Neodiprion lecontei: one gene and its partners. The protein of the gene in region 2 interacts with the protein of the main gene of each other region in a biochemical or structural test. Links are inferred from orthologs where the notes say so. Each region holds a gene or a part of one and is shown on either strand. Other genes may lie near its edges. The genes, in order: protein enabled, tyrosine-protein kinase Abl and tyrosine-protein phosphatase Lar.

Region 1 (6,530 bases), on a different chromosome or scaffold from region 2:
ACAAAGAAAAGCGAAGTGTGAGTTGAAAGGTCAGCGGTATTTGAGTAACGTGACAATGTTATTTGAGAAATATTATTTCCAGCACCGGCTTTACATGTTATACCGCATATCTATAACATGGATGTAAGCAGAGACAATGATATCCGGCAGTCGTAAGTCACCTCATGACGTTCTCGCGATCAGCCGGTGATCCCCGACTCGCAACTCCACCCCCGACCTGAATGACGGTTGTGATGCCGCTCGCTATCGGAGCGGCGGTTGCCGATGGGGGGGCAGGGCTTCCACCGAGGTGCCCCAGGGACAAGGAAACTCTCGACACGCTCCCTACGCTCCCTATGCTTCCTACCATCCCCAGGCCCCCCTGAACGGGACCAGATCCGCTTTGGGCCTGGCTTTGGCTTTGACTCTGACTCTGACTGGAAGCACCCAACACATCATTGACCAGTGACGATAAGTAGGTACCTGCTATTTGCATGGGATCATTGAGGCATTCAAACGGTTGGTAACTCATTCTCAGTAGTTTCTACATCGATGAAGTTATTTCTACAGTCATTTCGGTTATCTGGATTGTACTTTGTCAGTTGTTATCTTGACTGAGCATACAAGATACAGTTGATCGTGAGTTGTCTCCTTATCCTGCATTGATTCGGTTATCCATCTATTTATAGACACTTGTCATCGCTGCTATTAAGTCACTTCTTCGCAGTAGATATATTATCTTTATCTATCCAACTGTTTCGTTAAATTAATTCGTTAATTCAATACGCAGTAACTTAATTGTCGCGATTTATACTCAGTTATCCTCTTGTTCGCAGGCGACACGGAGTGATTTATTCAATTACCAGGTGTCATTTAGTCAGTTGGAATAATGAGTAACTCGATCAAAGTTTCCAGGCGGCCTGATTGCACGGAGCATATGTCCTGCAGAGTTCAGGGACTTTGGAATTGCACCTGCGGTCTAAACAATGCCGTAAATTTTTCCTTATTCAATTTATTTCGGAGAATCCCGTCAAAGCAATGTACAATATAACCGAAGTATCATTCGAGTAAAATTATGCATCGCATTTTTCAAAATAGCACGTAATTAGCAGCTAATTAGCACCCAAAGAGCCTCCTTACCTCATGTTCGGTATTTCTAATAATATGGTTCTACTAATATTATACCAGTCATAAATTATATAGTGACAAGAATGAAAGAGACGGAGCAGGTATGTACACTGTGAGTTTAAGAATAGTCAGGGTCTATTAGTCCTCTTCAGAAATCTGAGTCGATGGATCCTTGCAGGAACATTTACATATAATCGTTGGCAAAGTGCCGCTATTCGGGTTCTCGAATCGTCCTGAAACGCCGTAATCGTCGTCTTATCCTGTTTACCATATTATTGCAGATAACATACTCCCGTCACGTATTGGACAGAAATGAAAACATCGGGGACAAAGAGAGCACTCGAGAAATGGAACCCAGAACGTGAATCGAGGTGAAAGGTAAAACCGCAAAAAAAAAAATCAAGTAAAATTGGATAAGAAAAACGAATCTAGGGACTGACCTGTATCCCATGTCCTCTTCGTACTGCTGGGTGATACCAAGAGGCTGTTGCTGTTGTTGTTGCTGTTGTTGTTGTTGTTGGGACTGTTGCTGTTGCTGGTAATTCGCCGGTGCTGTGGAAGCGACTGCCGGACCCAAACTCCTCGAGATATTGCTGCCGTTGCTGAGGACCTGGGATGAAAATTCAGACGGATTAGTACGGGTTAAAGTTCGATCTTTCAATGGCTACTGATGTATCATAATACGCCGCGAGCTCAATTTACTTCATTATAAAGTTAAAGGTTTCTAAATTGATAGACACTGCCAATTGTCACGGTTATTGGATAATCGTCGTTGATCTGTAACGAAAGGTAAGGAGGAAAAAAAAACTGCATAACCTCACGCAGTGAGTCAGATTCGGGAAATGGAGCGACTGATATATTCGAGTCAGGGTTTTGGTAAATGGTCTTAATAACCGAGTTGAATCTCGTTTGTGAATTATTGGAGTGAAAAAGCGAAGGCTGACGCGTTGACGTAATTTTTTGCATCGGATATAATATTCGTGTGGCCGGGAGAAGTTATCCAATTACACGGCATGTGGCTCGATGCACTCTGCACGTTGCCTTCTCTCTCTCTCTCTCCCTCTCTTTCTTTCTCTTTATCTTCTTTTCTTTCTCCCACGCAAGCGTCCGGTTGATTTCGTGTGCGACCAGCCTGACAATGAAGTAATTCAATACATATCCGTATCTCTCCAGGTACAGCTGTGTAAAGTATATCGAAGATAGTATACGTATAAAGGTAAGAAAGCCGCCCCATTTTTGACGTCCGCATATCATCTCCGCAGGGTAAACAAGTGTAATATATAATACAAGAAGTGAAAAGATACGGGGACCTTTCTCCAAGGTGCATAGTTCCAAGACGGGAATGGTTGATAAAAGAAAGAATTTCGACTCGGCGAAGAGACAGAAAGAGGGAAATAAAAAGTATACACAACACTTACGTCGAGGGCCTGCAGCATGGCCTTGGCGAAAGCGTCGGCGTCATCTTTACTCGAGAAGTTCAGCCCGTAAACTTGTTTGTTGTCCCGCCATTGGTGAAACGTAACCGTAGCCTGATTGTACTTCAGTCCTTTGAGGATAGCGCAGTTTATCACTATCTCATGGTCCTGGAGCTTCCGACCGACCACTCTGAAGGTGTTGTTCACCTGGTGATGGTACAGCTGCACCTTCGATAAGCCGGACGAACTTCCGCTCGGCACCCATTTCTTGTTCACGTCGTCGTACACCATCACCGACGCCCGTGCTGATGATATGCTTACCTCACTGCGAAATGGATAATGACATTGTTTCGTTAAGTACGGTACACACCAAGTACCAGAACGAAGTCGGTATGTCGATAAACGATAAATGGAACAATAATGGATTCATCGACATTGTGACACGGATTCGGTAATATGACGTAGGAACATCGCGTGTTTCGGAAGTGAGATTCGATGCAAAGATCCACCATACTCGCCAAGTGGTAAGAGATCATTGTTATTCGTCATTAGAGACGCTGCCACGTGTGCGTTGGCTTAGGGGCGAGCCGAAAACAGAAATGGAACAGACGGTAACAAACGGCTTGGAAGCGAATGGAATTAGTTAGCATTCAATACCATGCCCAGTAGGTATTCCAGTCGGACCAACGTTTGTGATTAGCGGTTGTCATGTCGGCGATGGTCTTGCCGATGAAGGGTACGTGTCGTCCTTGGGTTGTACTTTACCCTTGTTCCGGGGTACCGTTAGGAGTTGGCCCGAGCCAAGGACAGAGGAAGTCACCCTGTCACCTTGTTTATTTTTACAACACTGTCCGAAGGAGGAAGCCGGCTAAGACGATTACTTCATCGCCGCAAGCTCCCCGCCAGCTTTGCAGGTAAACGATGCCATTTTCGTGACACCTCACTGCGCGAGTCTTTCAAGGATTCGCTTTACGGTGTTGCCTCTGCTGTGCCTCCGGGGTATCGGTTGACTTTTGCGAAACGGGGAAAACGCGGGGATTCAATTACGTCTGCAGCATGTTGCCCTCGTTGTTTCGTGGTGAGCACCCTTTTTCACACCGCTACCCGGAAAGTTTTATCATCGACGATAATGAGCAGTGTTCGAGCATTCTCAAACTTCTTTTCAGCGATACATCACTGAAAAACGAACAACTTTTTCCGGTAAATAATTGCCTCGTCCTTGCGGTGTAAAATTACACGTTAACCCTAATTCGTCACACCGCGGCAGAATCGAATAACGGTTTTCCAGTTCCAAAAAAGCGATATCCTGCTTCGACGATTTGTTCTAAAAATCGCAACAAAAAATATCTAGGTATTGTTTAAGGATCGGAGAAGAGGCTCGATTCAGTTTTCCTAACCACAATTCATTGTTTAAATATCGTAAGACATCGGCAAAGTTGAGGTAAAGTGGAAAAAAAAATTTTAAGGAATTTTTTTTTCGATTAGATACAGAATTGATTTCCAGCAAAACGAACGACTGTCAAAGTCTATTCCTGAAATCTACGAGGAGTTTGATAAATTTTTGGGATGAAATTCGCTCAGAATGATTCATTGCGGTTAAACGAGTACCTGATAGTATTGGTTTGATTTCGATTTTTTTTTTCATCTAATTTCATTCGCTAACGATGTGATCTTCTTTCAGAAATAACTTTACAAATAAAGTTGAAATATCTTTGGCGACGGTATATTTTCGACGTTCTCTTGTCTCTTAAAAAGTTAGTAGTCCTGGCAATTGAAATCGGACCGACATCGCAACTCGGACGAATAATTTCGATAAAAAATGTTCTTTATTCCACACGACTGAACACGTATATATACATTTTATCCCCATACGTCAAAGTCAACTCATACTCGTCCCCTGAATCCCTTAACCTTTTTTCTCCTCGGGTTGCGGATTCGATTCTCCTTGGAACAAGGGTGATAAAAAATGGTTTCTACGAAGAAACTTTTTTGCCCTTGAGTATTGTGAAATGAAGTATATAAATCGCAGTAGAAGAGTTACGCCGTTGTTGAACAAACTAAAATTTATTGAAGAATATCGTTACATAACATCTGATAATATATCAGCCGATATGTCGAGTATCGTAAATACATCGCCACCATGACGGTTACGTAGGATACTAGGAATGAAATTCAATCGAGCGAACTGCATATCTTTTACCACCGTTCCGCTTCTCCTTGACAGTCTAATATTTTTCAGCTTTCGATAAAAATCATAAGAAACCGTATCTCGGGTTAATACCGAAGTCGTTAAAAAAAAAACTTTCTGCACTACACAAATGAAACACTGTCACGAATCCCAAGGAGAAAGAAGTTCACCGATCACGTTATGTCTTTCCAACTTCCGACAGATATTCGCGAACCCGGTTCTGGTCCTTCAAGACGTTATGATCTGCGGTGATCCCGTAACGTCCAACGCTTCGGACAACTTGATTGTTCAGACTGAAGTCTCCGGATGAAATGTTTCACTGCAGGATGTTGCCGACCACTTCCGGCTGCAGTACACATTCCTCCTGATAACAACAATCGTGCGCGCATTTCCTATCCTACGTGACACATATTCCAGGGTATTTTTAACCATTCTCGCTTCATAGCTGGCAGATTCGCGAAAACATCCGAAAAGGAGTATTAAAAAAATCCCATCATCATTGCTGTAGGAATGGTGCAGAAAAACAATGCGTTGTTCCTGTTACCGCTTGAAACTGTTGCTGCAAATACGAATGGATGATCTTTAATCTACACCACACCACTAGATTCCCAAACTCGTAACATTGACTTGGTACAATTGCCACATTTGATAGCATCCGACATTATCGACCGAGTGAAACGAAAGTCAGACACGTGTGCCTGCAGCGAAGAAACATGAATAGTCGCCGATGACCTTCTCAATTACACGGACGATTAACGCGATTACTGATTAACGGAGGTTGATCGCGATGCCGACAATCGTAATCGGTGCTTTGGAAATCGATCGGCGGGAAGGGTTTTCTCTCCACACTTCCGGTCATCCGGAGAAACCATCGTCCGGAGGTTCCGCGTACCGCAGCTTAACAGAATGCAAAACAAGAGCGTGATTCTCAGGTTTATACTTGCAGATCACGAGACGACGACGGATCGCTATCACGTTTCAACTTCTCGCATCCTTCTTCCGCGTTACGCGAATACCCGGATCTAGATGGTGTGCATGGTGCAAGGCACGGTTCCTTGCTTCTTTATACCTATAACCGTGAAACTCTACACTGAGAATAATTTCATTTGTTACAGTAACTAGAGAAATTCAGTAAAACCGGTATCGTTAAAAAAAAACTGTTTGAATATCGTTGGAATTACGAAAAACGAGGTACGCCTAAACATTTTGCGCTATCGTCGATCCTTTTTTGGTTATTGCAACGCAAAATCAGTTTCCGAGGTTTACTCTACTTTTTTAAGTTGAACAAGGCTTTAACGTCAATTTATCGTTGCACGAGCGTTAAATTTTCGCAACAGTTGCAAGAAAATCTAGCAACAGCGATCGTAATGAGAAAGAATAGCAACGGATACTAGAAAACTAATTTTCATTTTCTACCTGGAACTATATTTTTCGATTGTGGTAAAAAATGAAAATAGTCAAGGACTGAGCGGTAACCGGAATAAGAAAATTTCTCTTAGCGTACACCTTCTCTCCTTGCCATTGGGTTGCAACTCTAACGCCCGGCCACTCGACTTAGGACTCGAGATTAGGACTCTGGATTGAACAAGCTCACGACGAGTGCATGAAATTCCTTGGAATTCTCTCTAACCCCACGGTGACGGTTAACATTTTCTAGATATCGTTAGAAAGTAAACAACTTCTGCTGCTGTTGCTGCTGCTGACGATAACGTGGCTGATAATTATTATTATTTTTTATCAGACACATTCGTATAACCTGACTCTTTTGTCCCCCACCCCATTCCAGACTTTAAAAAATTTAATTCTATTCCACAAAACTG
Region 2 (6,613 bases):
ATCAACTGTACCAAGTTTCGATGTTTCATCTCTTTCATTATCGCCGCTTCTTCCAAAAAGTCTTTCAATGCCATTGTGTCCTCCTGGAGAATGGCAAAAGTGTGTTTTACGTTATGGAAATATTACAAAATTTTACTAAAAGTAACAACGCAGTGATAAAGCACTTTGCATCTCACCTTCAGCGTTTTCACTGCGACTGTCATGTTATATCTTTTCCATAATGCCTCGTATACATCGCCATATTGGCCCCCGCCTAATTTATGCTTCATTACTATGTCTGTCCGATTAATTTCCCACTCGTCTGGTTCTAAAATTTTTACAAATAGCAATTAGAGTTTGTCATAGTACGAATCCAAATGTTTATAGATTACGCTCACACATAACCAATGACTTGGATAACTTTGTTAGTAATAATTGAAGATACTTTAACCCGTTCCTTCGTATCTTACCTGGACTTAGTGGGAAAACGGTAGGTTTGTTGCGCTTGGGGGCTGGATAAAGTAGCTGAGTAATCAGACCATCGGCCAGCATGGAATGATGATGAACTAACTCAGCTAACGTATTGAATTTACTCTCCGTTGTAACAAACATCTAGAACAGTAGTTTGTTTGAAATTTGAATTTACCATAAGATGATGTCTACGAGATATGTTATTATACTAGAGTCATTACCGACCTTTCCTTCACTGTCTTCATTTATTCTGTAATGATAAACGCGCCCTTCATATCGTAATGAAATACTTCGTTGCCCAGGACTGCTCTCTGATTCTCTAACTAAGAAACTTCCGTTTATACCCGAACTGAGCAGATACTCTGCAGCATTTCTTGATATTCGCCCATGGTACCACGAATGTTTTTCCAGCGAATTCACGGGGGTTACGTAATTTGAAGGAACCCAGCCAACTTGGCCTGTACTGGAGTGGGCTTCGCACCATTCTCCACTCTTGTTGTAACTTGATATACGAACTTGTTCCCCTATATAAATATATTTCCAATAGTAACTTCAGAATACATTTTTTTTTTTTCATTTTGAAACTACAATTTGAAATTAAATTAAATCTCCTCAAGTCAAGAGTATAATGTATGCAGTGACGAGATTATAGTACCCAAGTGAAGAAATAATTGATACTGTAGATGGAATGGAAAAAAATCCCAGAAATTACCTTTTTTAAGGCTAAGTTGATTTTCACCACCAGCTTGGAAGTCATATAACGCTACAAATAATTGCGGATCATCTTCTTCTTGAGCCAGAAGATTTTCTTTGCTTGTCCATCTACAATCAAGGGTAAGTAAACAGTTTCTCATATTATGTTCATCGAAGCACATATGGCAACTCGTCATTTTTTAGGGCTGGGTGATGATTGTTTTAAATTTGAAAATTATTTGAAAATATGTTCTATTCAAATGAAATTAAGCCCATGAATTGAAATATCCAAATTTTGGTTAATATAATATTTCCTCATATTATGTTCTATTGCATTGGGAACAATATAATGAAATTATAATTTGCAATATATTTTACCGATTAGCAGCTTCCAGAAGTCCTGTAGTAGTGACGCTACTATGCTGCTGCAGGCTGGACTGTTGGGAAAGTGATTGAGAACTTGAACTGCTAGGTGGATCTCCTTCAGGTAAGGCTGGTATATGAGGTAGAGGTCTACTCTGTAGTAATGCCTCTGAAAATGTATGATCATCAGTCACATCTTGCCTCAAGACAAGCAACGTTAGATCTAGAATATCGGTATGAGTAATTGAATAACAGAAGTCAAATGAATTTAACCGCCTTTTTTTCAATGCAAGTATACATAGACTCAAACGATAAATGAATGATATCATTAATTACATATTTTCAGTTATAAAACAAAGAAAATGCATTTTGTAAAGGATATTGATGCTATATTGCAAGTTTGTAATTTGTGAATATTCCCGTTTCTCTAACTTTCCAATGGTTTGAAAAGATCTGAACTTTGTTCGATTTTGTTTGTTTTCCAACAGTCTTATAATAAACTGATCATTCTAACAAGGACATATTATAGTTCGGCACAATTTGTTCCTGAATAAGAATTAAATACTGCTTCTCAAAAAATTTGTGCAGCTCAGAATTAAGGGCAAAATCTACTGTAATTTTGTTCCGATAAATTCAACTTTAAAAGAAATGATCTGCGACACGGACAAATGCAATTAAAGAATTCATTACTGATTATTCGGACCACATACATTAGAACTAGTTGCAGGAAATGAACAGCTACTGTTCACTGATAATAAAGAATATTCTATTTATAATCGTTGCATTGCAAATTTTATTAATCAGAATCAAAAAACTTTGATAAAGAAATATCGAACACAGAGTTAAAAATAACTGCAAAAGGAAGTCATATAACACGATTCACGCCGTTTCTCGTTTGTTTTGCTTCATGTTGTATTAAATATAGCTGTGTACGACAAACTAAATTCCATTGTAACAAATGAGTACATTTTTTTTTCCAAGTAATCGATTCCATTAATATAAAATTCTTATAAGTATAGAAGTTCGATTGAAAAATTTAATTCTGTGTAAATAAACCCGAATAAGGAAATTCGAAGGTGGACATAAATTAACACACTGTGTCGAGGAATGGAAGATAATATCGAAATTTGTACAATTACATTGGCTCTGAATTGACTATAATGAAATAATAGCAGTAAATCAGAGATGAATTCATTCTGTATCGATGTGATTTTATCTGCGAGGAACTTCATTGCGAGTCTCTATTCCATGTTTCATTTGGCAAACAAATGGATAAAATAATTGTATTCGAAATTGGACTTATGCAATGTGTGATATTAGTACATAACGTTGTGATGAGATGAAGGTTGTCAATGAAAACGGAAAAGGTAAGGAAAAAAGAAGGAAAGAGTAACAATGAGTGCGTGTAGGAAGTGCGATTGAATGAAATGAGAAGAAAAATGAAACTGTTAAAACAGGAAAAAGGGAGGGGTAGAGTCTTACAATGAAAATGGAGATCAGCTTACCGCTGTGTTCCGTAAAAATGTTCGATCCAATGAGCCTGGATTCCTTCGGGTTTCTGGGCTGTTTCCGAGTTTGTCGTACGGCAGACCCGGTGGGAATCACTCTATCCTTAGTCTGTTGAGCACCCATAGTTCCTCGTTTAACATACCCTTATATTCTGCCCCGGCTGAAAGTACGCCGAGGTCAACTGCTTCGCGCATCAACCTCCAGGAGCACTTGATACATTTACATTATACGGGAGTTTGTGAATAGTTTAAACAAGAACTGAACCGCGAACTGCTTCCTCCCCGTGCTCGCTCACATTTTTACATGTCAATTAGATATCACAGACCGTTCGCCATGTTTGACAGCTTTGACGTCGATTATTTAGTTTGTCAGTGCATTAATGCGGGGCAGCACGGTGACGAAGTGGAGGTGGTGCAGCCAGGGAGTAAAATGTGCAACTGCTTCGATATGTTGTTATGAATGAGATAGAACTCGGATTAATCAAAACCAGGGTTGAAGCAGTCGACTTTGCATATACGATAAGCGGTATCGATTCTCTACACGGGATCAAACACGCTGACAAAATATTGAACAGCAAATCTCGCATTACTGGCAACAATAAAAATTACTTTCATTTTAATACAGATATAATCACGATACGATGTGCAGTAGTAGTACGAGAAAAGACTGCCATCCCAGTCGCCAGTTTTTTATTTCATCCGAGCATTCGACCCTCTCCAGATGGGGCGACAAAGCGACTGAGGAGCCAAAAGCGAGCCGGTCGACGTACCAAGTTCGACCAATGAGGAGTCGACAAATTTTAACGCTATCGATTGATGCGTTGAGGGTTTAATGACCGAAATCGTAATCGATTTTACACTCCGAAGAATTGTTATTACTCCAATCACGGTTTACCGTCGAAATAAATCGACGACGTATGTACGCATCTATGTATGTTACATACCTAGAATTTATTCCTTCTAATTCAGAAAATGCTAAGAGTACACTACATAACTACATCGGTATCTTTGCCCAGCTTCGAGAATTCCCCGCGTCTGCGCGCCTGTCTGATTTAAGTCCTTTCAGCCCTTAGAGTATGTCATACTACTGGTTAGCGTACACAGAAAGTGCAGCAAAGGAGTGAGAGAGAGAGGTGTATGTTGGTTATAACCTGTCTCTCTCATTACTCGGGCTGCAACTATCGCGAGGTCGATGGAATAGGTAGCTCCCTCCAGTAGTATATGCTCCAAGTTTCAGCCAAAGGGATTTCTCCTGACCAACCATTGAACCCCGTCCGGTATAGACCGTGAAATAGTCCTTAGTTGCTAACGGGGAGTTCTTTGACAGTTCCAAATCAAATGTTAATACCATGTTGTCTTTTTGAGCCAGTAGACTGTCGTTAAAATAATCATTGGCACGTCAATACGGGCCAAAAGAGTGCCGTAAGTTCGATTTAAGTGATTCATATGACACGAGAATACAGTTTATTTATTAGGAGTGACAGACGGAGTTAGGAAAAACAAAAAAAGAAAAAATATTGTCAATTTGATATTAATTATCATTCTACCTGTGCGTTCTGTTCGTAATGAGAAAAGTATAATAAAAGAAAGAAAAACCAAAAAAAAAAAAAAACACTAACTTAGTCACGGCTAGTAATTGTTTCTGCATCTCCTTCCGAACATATGTACCTTTGTCTGCCGAAGTTTCGGGATCCGTAGAACAGACAAGAATAAAGTTATTGCAGAAAAAACCATAACAAATGGCCTAGTCTATCAGGTAATTGAGAAATATCAGACAACCTTTAAGGGTATTAACCGTTGGTTTGGAATGCGATTTACTGTAAAAAAAACTAGACAGGTTAGGTTTTACTTTTGCAGCGTTCAAATTTGCTCCTCATTAAAGTGGCTATTGGAGAAAATAGAGTGGTATTTACCATTTTATCATTCGTAAGTACATTATACACACAACAACCAGACCTCTAGTATTTCTCAGTAACTAAACTTCATAGTCCCAACAATGCTAGCTGTACTCTATTCAAGGGATTCCAACAAAAATCGTTGGATCTATGTTCTTGTCAACATATTTTCCTTATTTCTCCCCACGAGATTTCCAACCGTTGTGAATAAAAGAAATTAGGATTACGAAGAAAGAAAGATAAAAAATAGGGAGTGGCACGTTTTACTGTTATTATAGGTTGTTACTCGTACGATTCGTCATCTCACTTATCAATAATACGACTGCGTCGTACAAGCAAGGCATGCTTCTCTGTTGTCGAGTGAAGTGTTGTATAACATTTCATTACCTTTGTGATGATCCTGTGATCTATTAATATAAAGTCTTGAATATACGTATGCAAGTACGATGATACGTGATTACTTTTGGCAAATGAACTTACTTCAATTTATTTTGAGACTCGAGACACGCCACAGCTTCTGTATTCTCTTATTATTACCGCAGTCAAGTTTGACTTGAAAGCATAACGTTGTCCAAACTTTTCATGCATCGTTTATAATTGTTCATCAAACATTGAAATTTCTAAAAGAAGAATATTTTTACAAAGTGTTCAAGGCAACTAAATAAACGCGGAGTAGTTTACTTGTTATTTCATTGCTAAGTTGACAAGGTCACCTTGGAATCCTGTTTCTTCATATCTCTTTCTCAATGGATAAAACATCAATTTCACTGTAAGATTTTTCTATACTGTAAATTTTTCATCCCGCTCGGAAATCATGCAAATTCAGATTTGCCGTCTTCATTCAGATCACCTAGTCATGTAGCTCATTGTCGTAAAACTTTAAAGTATTTTACAGTCAGTGATTAATGAATATTTTTCTGGTTTTTTTCTTTCATCATTCTACTAGCTGGCCTGACATGTCAAATCCTGGAGATCGTTTAAGTTATGTGCAAGATAGTAGCAGCGATACAGAGACAGACTACAAGGAAACGGATAGCCGCGGTCGCCACCGCGTATACAAGAACAGATTTGGGTAGGTTGGATTCTGATACTAAAGATAAACGGTCTGAATAATGATACGACGTAGTAAACGTATCAAAATTTCCTAAGCTATAAATTGTTCTCTTAATATGATGTGAGGTCGTAAAGAGAATGTTCAAAGTAAATAAAAAATATTGTACACGTCGTTGAGTATTGATGTTATTATTACATAGAAGATAGTAGTTTAATTGTAGCTTTAGAATTCTCTGCATGTTCGTACGTTATTTGTTCAGAATGAATATAAATTATCTACTATAATAAATCTTTTTCTGAACAAGAATAATGTGTCTATGGTAGAAACAAGCAAGTGAATAACATTAAGCACGCTATTAGCTGTAGAAAATAATTTAATATTTGATTGTTTTCTGAAGTATATTAGCAAGATCAGATTAAAATAGAGGATTGATGACTTGTTTAAATGGGTGTACAAACGAATATTTACTGAGTATCGTTTGACGTTATAACGAGTAGCAAAATTTATTCTTGGCACAGCCAGAAAGGACAAATGGTCATCAAATGGTACAGTAGGTCAAATGATTTAACAAAGCCCTCTTGAAATTTGGTAGAAATATTCTGCAACGAATCAGAAAATGACTACGTGAATCTGGGTAAAATGTAGAAAAC
Region 3 (6,629 bases), about 21 Mb from region 2:
CTCCGAAGGAATGGAAAGCCATAATTAGACGCTAGACACTTGCTCGCTGATAATTCAGACTTTAATAGCCAGCCGAAGTATAATCAATTATGTTTACACGGTACGCTAATGCTCGGTCATAATTTTCAAATTTTCACTGCTCGAACAATTATTCTTTCTGACGTTATCCAAGGCATGAATCATGACGCCTTTGCTGAACGGTTTCGAATCTACGTAAATGCGTAAATCATCGAATGCCGCAAATTTTCATCACAGAGATGACCGTAATTTCGCTCTTCTTATTAGTTTGAATAGCAATACATCTCACACCACGTTTGACTCGCGCGTATCTTAATAATAACTACGAGTGGAAAATCATCCTCAGGTAAGGTTTAACGTTTTGTCGCACTCATTTTTGTAAGTCATATTTTTTATGTGTAAGGGGTGTTCCGGGGGGTTTTCGGGGATGTTGGTCACGAATCTGAAATCAGAGCCATGGAATATAGGTGGTACATACATATGTGCCACCGTGCAGGAAAGGGATGAAGCTTAAAGTTCGAAGCTAACAGCTAAAAGCCGAATCTACATCATTTAAAATTTTTACCAGCATTTCAAAAATACCAATCATCTAGAAAAAGAAAAATCAATTTCGTACAAACACATATCACTGTTAGCAAAATTTAACCAAATATAATGTCCCAACAGATCCAGTTTATATTTCTGTTGGTAAATACGACAGAAGTTGTTGTAACTATAACACACAAATTATCATATCAACCTTTAATTTGTAAATTTGTTGCAATTTGTGTTTTTTATTTCGTTGAGTAATGTATTAAAAAGAGGTTAAATCAACCCAAAAATATTAGTGGACCTTCCGAGTCACTTTTTTCTAACCATGTAATCAGAAAATATAATTTTCTATTAAATATGAACATTATGATATCGTATACTACATTCTCGTGGCAAGATTTCTTAATTCAGCATTCTTAGCAACAAAATTATGTTTTTACTACGTATGTTCAACAAAGTTCCCTCCCCCTCGAAGCAGTCTGGAAATTACTTTTCCTAGGAAACCATTGTACATTCGTCCTGATAATCAATCATGAATAAAGATGAGATGGAAAGAGACAAGCTGGTTGATATATTAACAGTTGCAAGATTCTCTCACAGGAGTTGGAGCCGTGTCTCCAAAGTTTTTTTTTTTTTTATGGAAATATAAAGTATTATTGTACCTTACGCCATAAAAAAAAACTCGGTCAGACTTGCGAAATGGTTATATCAACATAGCCGAAACTTCTCGTTTTTCACCTATGCATAATTAACACTTTTCTTGCTGAGTTGAAAGCATCCGTGTTTGGAAGAAGTATTCGATTCAAGAGTCATTTGTAAAAACTCGAAAGAGCAAAATATCTGTACGGATTGTCCCGTAGCGAGACAAGTTGCGTTGGATATTTCATATTAAAAGTAATAAAAGAAAAAAAATTAAAAAGAATGGTTCGCATAATCGATCGAAATTTCCAACTTATCGCGCAGCAAAGAGTCTGCTCGATGACTGAAAAACTATTACTTCACCAACTGTGACAATTTTTATTATTTTTTTCTCGCTTCGAAAAACGATTTTCAAATATTCGCTGTACAATGTTTCTATATAAAGAAGAAAAAAAAAAAAGAAACAAACAAACAAAAATCCTCCATTTCCAACGAAATAACAACTATCTAGATTCCCCGCGTAGTACTATGTAAAATTCTCACAAATTCTTCAACGTCGTATCAAAACGTATCGTAAACACCTTAAACTGAGTCAGTCGTTACAGCTGTCAAGGTTGGTTTTACGATCACGAATAGTTGGATTTAGGGTATACATACACCTTTGACCAGGTATACTCTGAACTTGACTATCCTTGCGAAACTCCGAAGCTCTACCTTATACATATACATGCCCGGCAAAGATTGGCGGCGTATTGTAAAATGTACAAACGTCTGACCCCATCCTCATGCATATCCTTCCACGGGTATCCGTAGACGCTCAAGGGTTGTAAACCGAGCATGGTCACACGTCCAGTCATCTACGCTCTTCAGACATGTCGTATGCCGCGAGGGGGGGGGGGGGGGGATGACGATGAGGGGGAAAGAGTGCGCGACGACCCTTCAGCCCTTAACCTCCCCCCTCCCCCCCTGCTCCAGCGCCACCCTCTAACCTCCCCCTCCGCCCCTCACCCGTTACCCACATCAGGAATATAACATGCAGTGAAGAGAACTTGACGGGGAGCCGTGAGGGGGGGTGGAGGGTGCGACGAAGGCGTCTGCGCGGAAGCCGTAGCCGTTAGAGGGTTGATTTTGGCTCAGTCAGACCCTGACTTTTGGAAGGGGTGCTGCGCGTTCGCGAGGAGATAAAGTCAACGTGCGTTTCTTCGATTGCTCGTACCGATCTCGTTGGAATCGCCAACGTCAGCATTATTCGAGGGTTGTTTTCCCGACCTTGATACGACCCCGTTCGACGATTATCGGCTCACGCTGTGCGAAAGCTGTTCGAGAGGGGATCGAGCCTGTTTGATTCAGGGCACCCGCTGAGGTTAGGAATCGTAGAGAATAAGAGGGTTTTTCAGGTGCCCAAGAAACGAAGGAAAAAGAATTTTTCTCATATCTGTCTACAAGTGCGTTTTTGTGTAATCAGTTAGTTAGTTGAATTTGTGATTGTTGGTTGTTGTGCTGATTGTATAGTCAACGCGCTGACGCACCGTCTAGGATATTACACGTATTTGTGAAAAGTGATTACTTACGCTCGTCGAGGTATTGAGCTTCGGAAACATGTGCTGATTTTTTAAAGGATTCCACCCAACCGCCGGCATTGGTGAGTGGCGATTTACGATAATTCTTTCTTTTTTTTTTTCTTCGCTTCCAAGTCGTTGTTGCGTTGTACTTTTGAGAATTCTTAACGGTTGGGCTTATCGATCCCACGTGTCACGGCTCGCTGGACTTTCGCGTTACTTCAAAACTACTGCCTGAATATGCAGGAGGTTGCCTAATCGCCTTACGCGGTCCGACTTGGCCACTCGCTGATCGTTTGTGTAGTACAGTTGATCCTTTCAGAAGTGAGCTTAGCTACGATTCTGCAACTTTCTCGAAGTATAACGTGACTTCGTGAAGTTTACTTTCTCACACATCAAACAAGCGTGAGACCCTTCTCGAATCAAAAATTTCAATCCAATTAAACTCTACCATCTAATCTTGCGCTCCAAATTTTTCGCGATCGGTAAGATTGAGTGCTCGGAGAGCTACGGTCCGAAGGTAACAAATCGACCGTGAGAACAATGAACCAAGAGTACACTTAGCGTTTTTATAGTCTGATTTGAGTTTTAATATGGGCTAATTGCGGTGCTCAAGTTCATTAACTTCGAAGGGAACTTGTACAATTCATCTCGAGTCACTGCGGGCCGTTGTGTATACCTATACCTGAAATTAAGTGCGAGAACAAAAGAAGAGAAAGAGGGAAAAAATGAAAGGTAAGAAGATGGGAAAAAGTTGAAAAGATACGATAAAGTACTCGCTTACCGTGATATTATCGAACTCGTGGAAAAGCCTACACGTACTGCGAGGATCCGTTCGTGCGGTATGATGGTGTATCACCATATATATCTACGTGTGCACCACCGTTTACGTATACTTATGGGGCAGAAATCCTACTTCATATTTAACTCGTGCACGATGTGTATGATGGATTCCGCGCCAACTCAACTCGTCCTGCACCTCCACCATGTTCGGTTCCTGCTTCCAATTAGCACGTTGCGAAACATATCAAAAAGACAGCTTGCGCAAGCTTTCAGACTTGCCTAACGGTTGATTATTGATTTAGAGGCACATCTGTTTGTAAACAGGAGCACTTTGTATGAAATTTATGCAGTGGATTGTCTGAATGTGGACGATGTTTCAGACCTTTGTTGGTTCGGTTCAAGTTGGTCAGACCTTTCCTTGATCCCATTTCAAAGTGGCAAACGTTTGAATTTTCAAATACTCTCGATCTCATGAAGATCGTTCATCGATCTTTGTAATGTAATTTCATTCCGTTGAAATTTCGTTTGACACATTTTTTCAAGACCTTCAATGATCAATGAGTCGGTGATACGAGCTTTTGTAATTCGGATTCGAGATACATCGTTAAATTTGACGATACATGAAAACGGTACACTGTACTTATCTCAACGATGTTTCAATAAGCATTTTATAAAATACCCAAGACTGTGTTTTGCCTCAAGTTGTTTTATCTAATCACTGAACTTCATTGTTCAGAATATCTTCCAACCCAACTGTTAGACCCTTGTTGGTGGTAAAAGATTGAGAAGAACGGCAGCGTTTCAAAGCATCAAATCAATCATCAACAACCAGATATCGAAGAAATCTGAAACACTTCCGGATGCTTCTCGGATAACCCGCGGCTTACAAATAGGAAGAAGAAATCTGAGATGGCGTGTTTCAGCGGCGGATCGGCGAGTTGGCTTGGAATCCTCCATGTACATGCTTATCCGCGAATTCGCACGAGGCAAGACAAATCGTTACACTTTTATGCAGAGCTGCGGCATGACGGGGCTGCAGGTCAGAGGGGTACGGATGCACTTGTGTTAGACTTACATCCAGTGCTTGATGCACACACACAAACATACATTGTATGCGAGAAGTTCTACTGAATTTTATGGCTTTGAGGTAGAAGAGCCGCAGAAGCGGCGAGGCCGCATAGCTTTAGTGTGAGAGTTCGTTTAAGTATACTTAATGGCTCTTTTCCTCAACTTATTAAGCCGGTTCCGTTGGTATAATTTCGTGAAATATCTGTCGAGGACACGGGGGTTGGGCGCGTGTGTCGGTGTCGTTGTCCGGAAGGCCGGAACAGCTTGAGATATACGAAGGTGCCCGCCTAGCTTCGAAATAGTTTCTCTGCGGCGAGCGAGTTTACGACAAATGATTACTACGTGCAGCGCTGCGCGGTGAGGGGTGCTCTTATGGCTGTATGTTAAGCAGCGCGAAATAAAATTCACATCAACTATAAAACTTGCGAGCACCAATTGCGAGAGAGGATGAAAACCGCGCGGCCGAGTTGACTTGAAGGTAATTTTGCGAGGGTTTACCTTCGCACAAAAGACGACACGGTGTCAGCCTGAGAATGAAACGCTTACGAAATACCGAACTTGACTGAGGAATTTTATTTATTCGATTTCCCCGCCACTTTTTTCTTTGTCTTTCGCAAATTGTTTTACACGGGAATAACAGCCACCCTCAAGTATTTTCCAAGATAAACAGCATCACTCGACTCCCCTCTAAGAATTCCCCATCGTGAGCTTACGCAATTTCTGTTTGGTTCTCCATTATTTTTAAATATTTCTAGCCGTAAAAGTGTAGAATTTATGTAGTTGTAATTGTATTGGTAACCTTTTTCGTTTTCGACTTTATACGGGATGGCCGTAAACTAGTTCAAAATAATTACAACACCGATTGTCCAAGATTACTGTCCGTGTGGTAGTCCAAGTAAACGTGAACAAGGTTTGACCCTGAGCCCCACCGAATGGGTCGCAGATTTATTTTCTATTTCTACACTGTCAAATATACATTTTCTAATGTTAGTAGATTTTTTCCACGTGCCCTTTAGGAGTAGGTATTTTAGATCTCATCTTTCATAACTCGAAAACTGTACATTTGGAAGAAAAATTATTAAGAGGAAAATATCGTGATTCTTTCTGAATTGGTTGAAAATAATTTCTTCAAAATTGTCTGTAAATCGTAATTCAAATTTTTCAAGATCGCAGTTTTGCAGAAAAATCGATTTTTGTGCGCCTTTCGTTGAAAACGATGACTTACGACTTCCGGAAAATTCTGAAATAATTATTTTAGTGCGTATTGCGAAATCGCTGAAAAATAACGAAGTTCGATCTTTCCGATTTCAATGAACAATTACTTGGCGACGCGACGCATTAAAAATCTCAATTTCAAATCATTGGAGTGAGTTCCAAACAGGCGTCAAAATTTTCCACGAGGCTGGAATGGTTTTCAGTTTAAATTGATGTGAACAATTGACAGTTAAAAATTGAGAAAAAGTATGAGTTTCTGTATATTTTAAATACCCGATCAAATTATATTCAGAAATACTTGACTTTTTAACACGGTTTTTTTGTTTCGATACTCCATTAAATTGCAATTAAGATTCTTTTTGCATTCTCGATCAATGCCTTAATCGCACCATTATTCTTGTAAAGAAACCATACACTTACTAACTTTCGACAATAATTGAGTATTTTTATCGTATATAGTGTTATGAAATGTAATTCGTTATTTAGCAACGCGAGACTCGCTGAACATAATAATTACAATAACGATCTACTAAATCCTTGTTACATTGACGTTCGATGCAACGACGTCTATCACGAACACCTCTCTCTCTCTCTCTCTAAAACGTCACTGAGGCTTCCAGATTCAACAGTGACAGTTACCGAGTAATTCGAAGATTATTGCAAATAACAGTGATAGGACGTTTTCTGTGAATAAACACCTATTTGTGGCTGAATCACAGTGTCGTTCAACTGATTTATAGCTCAAAATAAAAATAACTTTAGTGCCACGTTATTTTATACTCTAACCAACTGCGTAATTTTTATATTATCGAATAT

Evidence for each region.
Region 1: of the proteins of tyrosine-protein kinase Abl (region 2) and protein enabled, one has a biochemical effect on the other in vitro, tested with the Drosophila melanogaster proteins (3 studies listed by BioGRID, with this or other methods). The link is inferred for Neodiprion lecontei from reciprocal best matches to the Drosophila melanogaster genes Abl and ena.
Region 3: of the proteins of tyrosine-protein kinase Abl (region 2) and tyrosine-protein phosphatase Lar, one has a biochemical effect on the other in vitro, tested with the Drosophila melanogaster proteins (2 studies listed by BioGRID, with this or other methods). The link is inferred for Neodiprion lecontei from reciprocal best matches to the Drosophila melanogaster genes Abl and Lar.

The regions. Positions count from the first base shown.
Region 1 is NC_060264.1:29,524,469-29,530,998, reverse strand, and holds the start of protein enabled, read right to left. Parts: upstream 3,698-6,530; 5' UTR 3,233-3,697; coding exon 3,180-3,232; intron 2,848-3,179; coding exon 2,526-2,847; intron 1,718-2,525; coding exon 1,548-1,717; intron 417-1,547; coding exon 162-416; intron 1-161. UniProt on the Drosophila melanogaster protein: Functions, together with Abl, trio and fra, in a complex signaling network that regulates axon guidance at the CNS midline. Required in part for robo-mediated repulsive axon guidance. May be involved in lamellipodial dynamics.
Region 2 is NC_060261.1:5,820,614-5,827,226, reverse strand, and holds the start of tyrosine-protein kinase Abl, read right to left. Parts: upstream 3,733-6,613; 5' UTR 3,139-3,732; coding exon 3,012-3,138; intron 1,676-3,011; coding exon 1,522-1,675; intron 1,273-1,521; coding exon 1,163-1,272; intron 975-1,162; coding exon 676-974; intron 592-675; coding exon 450-591; intron 308-449; coding exon 177-307; intron 84-176; coding exon 1-83. Other genes in the region: BTB/POZ domain-containing protein 10, read left to right, coding at 4,822-4,940, 5,856-5,981. UniProt on the Drosophila melanogaster protein: Arm and Abl proteins function cooperatively at adherens junctions in both the CNS and epidermis; critical for embryonic epithelial morphogenesis regulating cell shape changes and cell migration.
Region 3 is NC_060261.1:27,255,353-27,261,981, reverse strand, and holds the start of tyrosine-protein phosphatase Lar, read left to right. Parts: upstream 1-2,342; 5' UTR 2,343-2,551; exon of another isoform or gene 2,552-2,830; intron 2,831-6,629. UniProt on the Drosophila melanogaster protein: Possible cell adhesion receptor. It possesses an intrinsic protein tyrosine phosphatase activity (PTPase). It controls motor axon guidance. In the developing eye, has a role in normal axonal targeting of the R7 photoreceptor, where it negatively regulates bdl.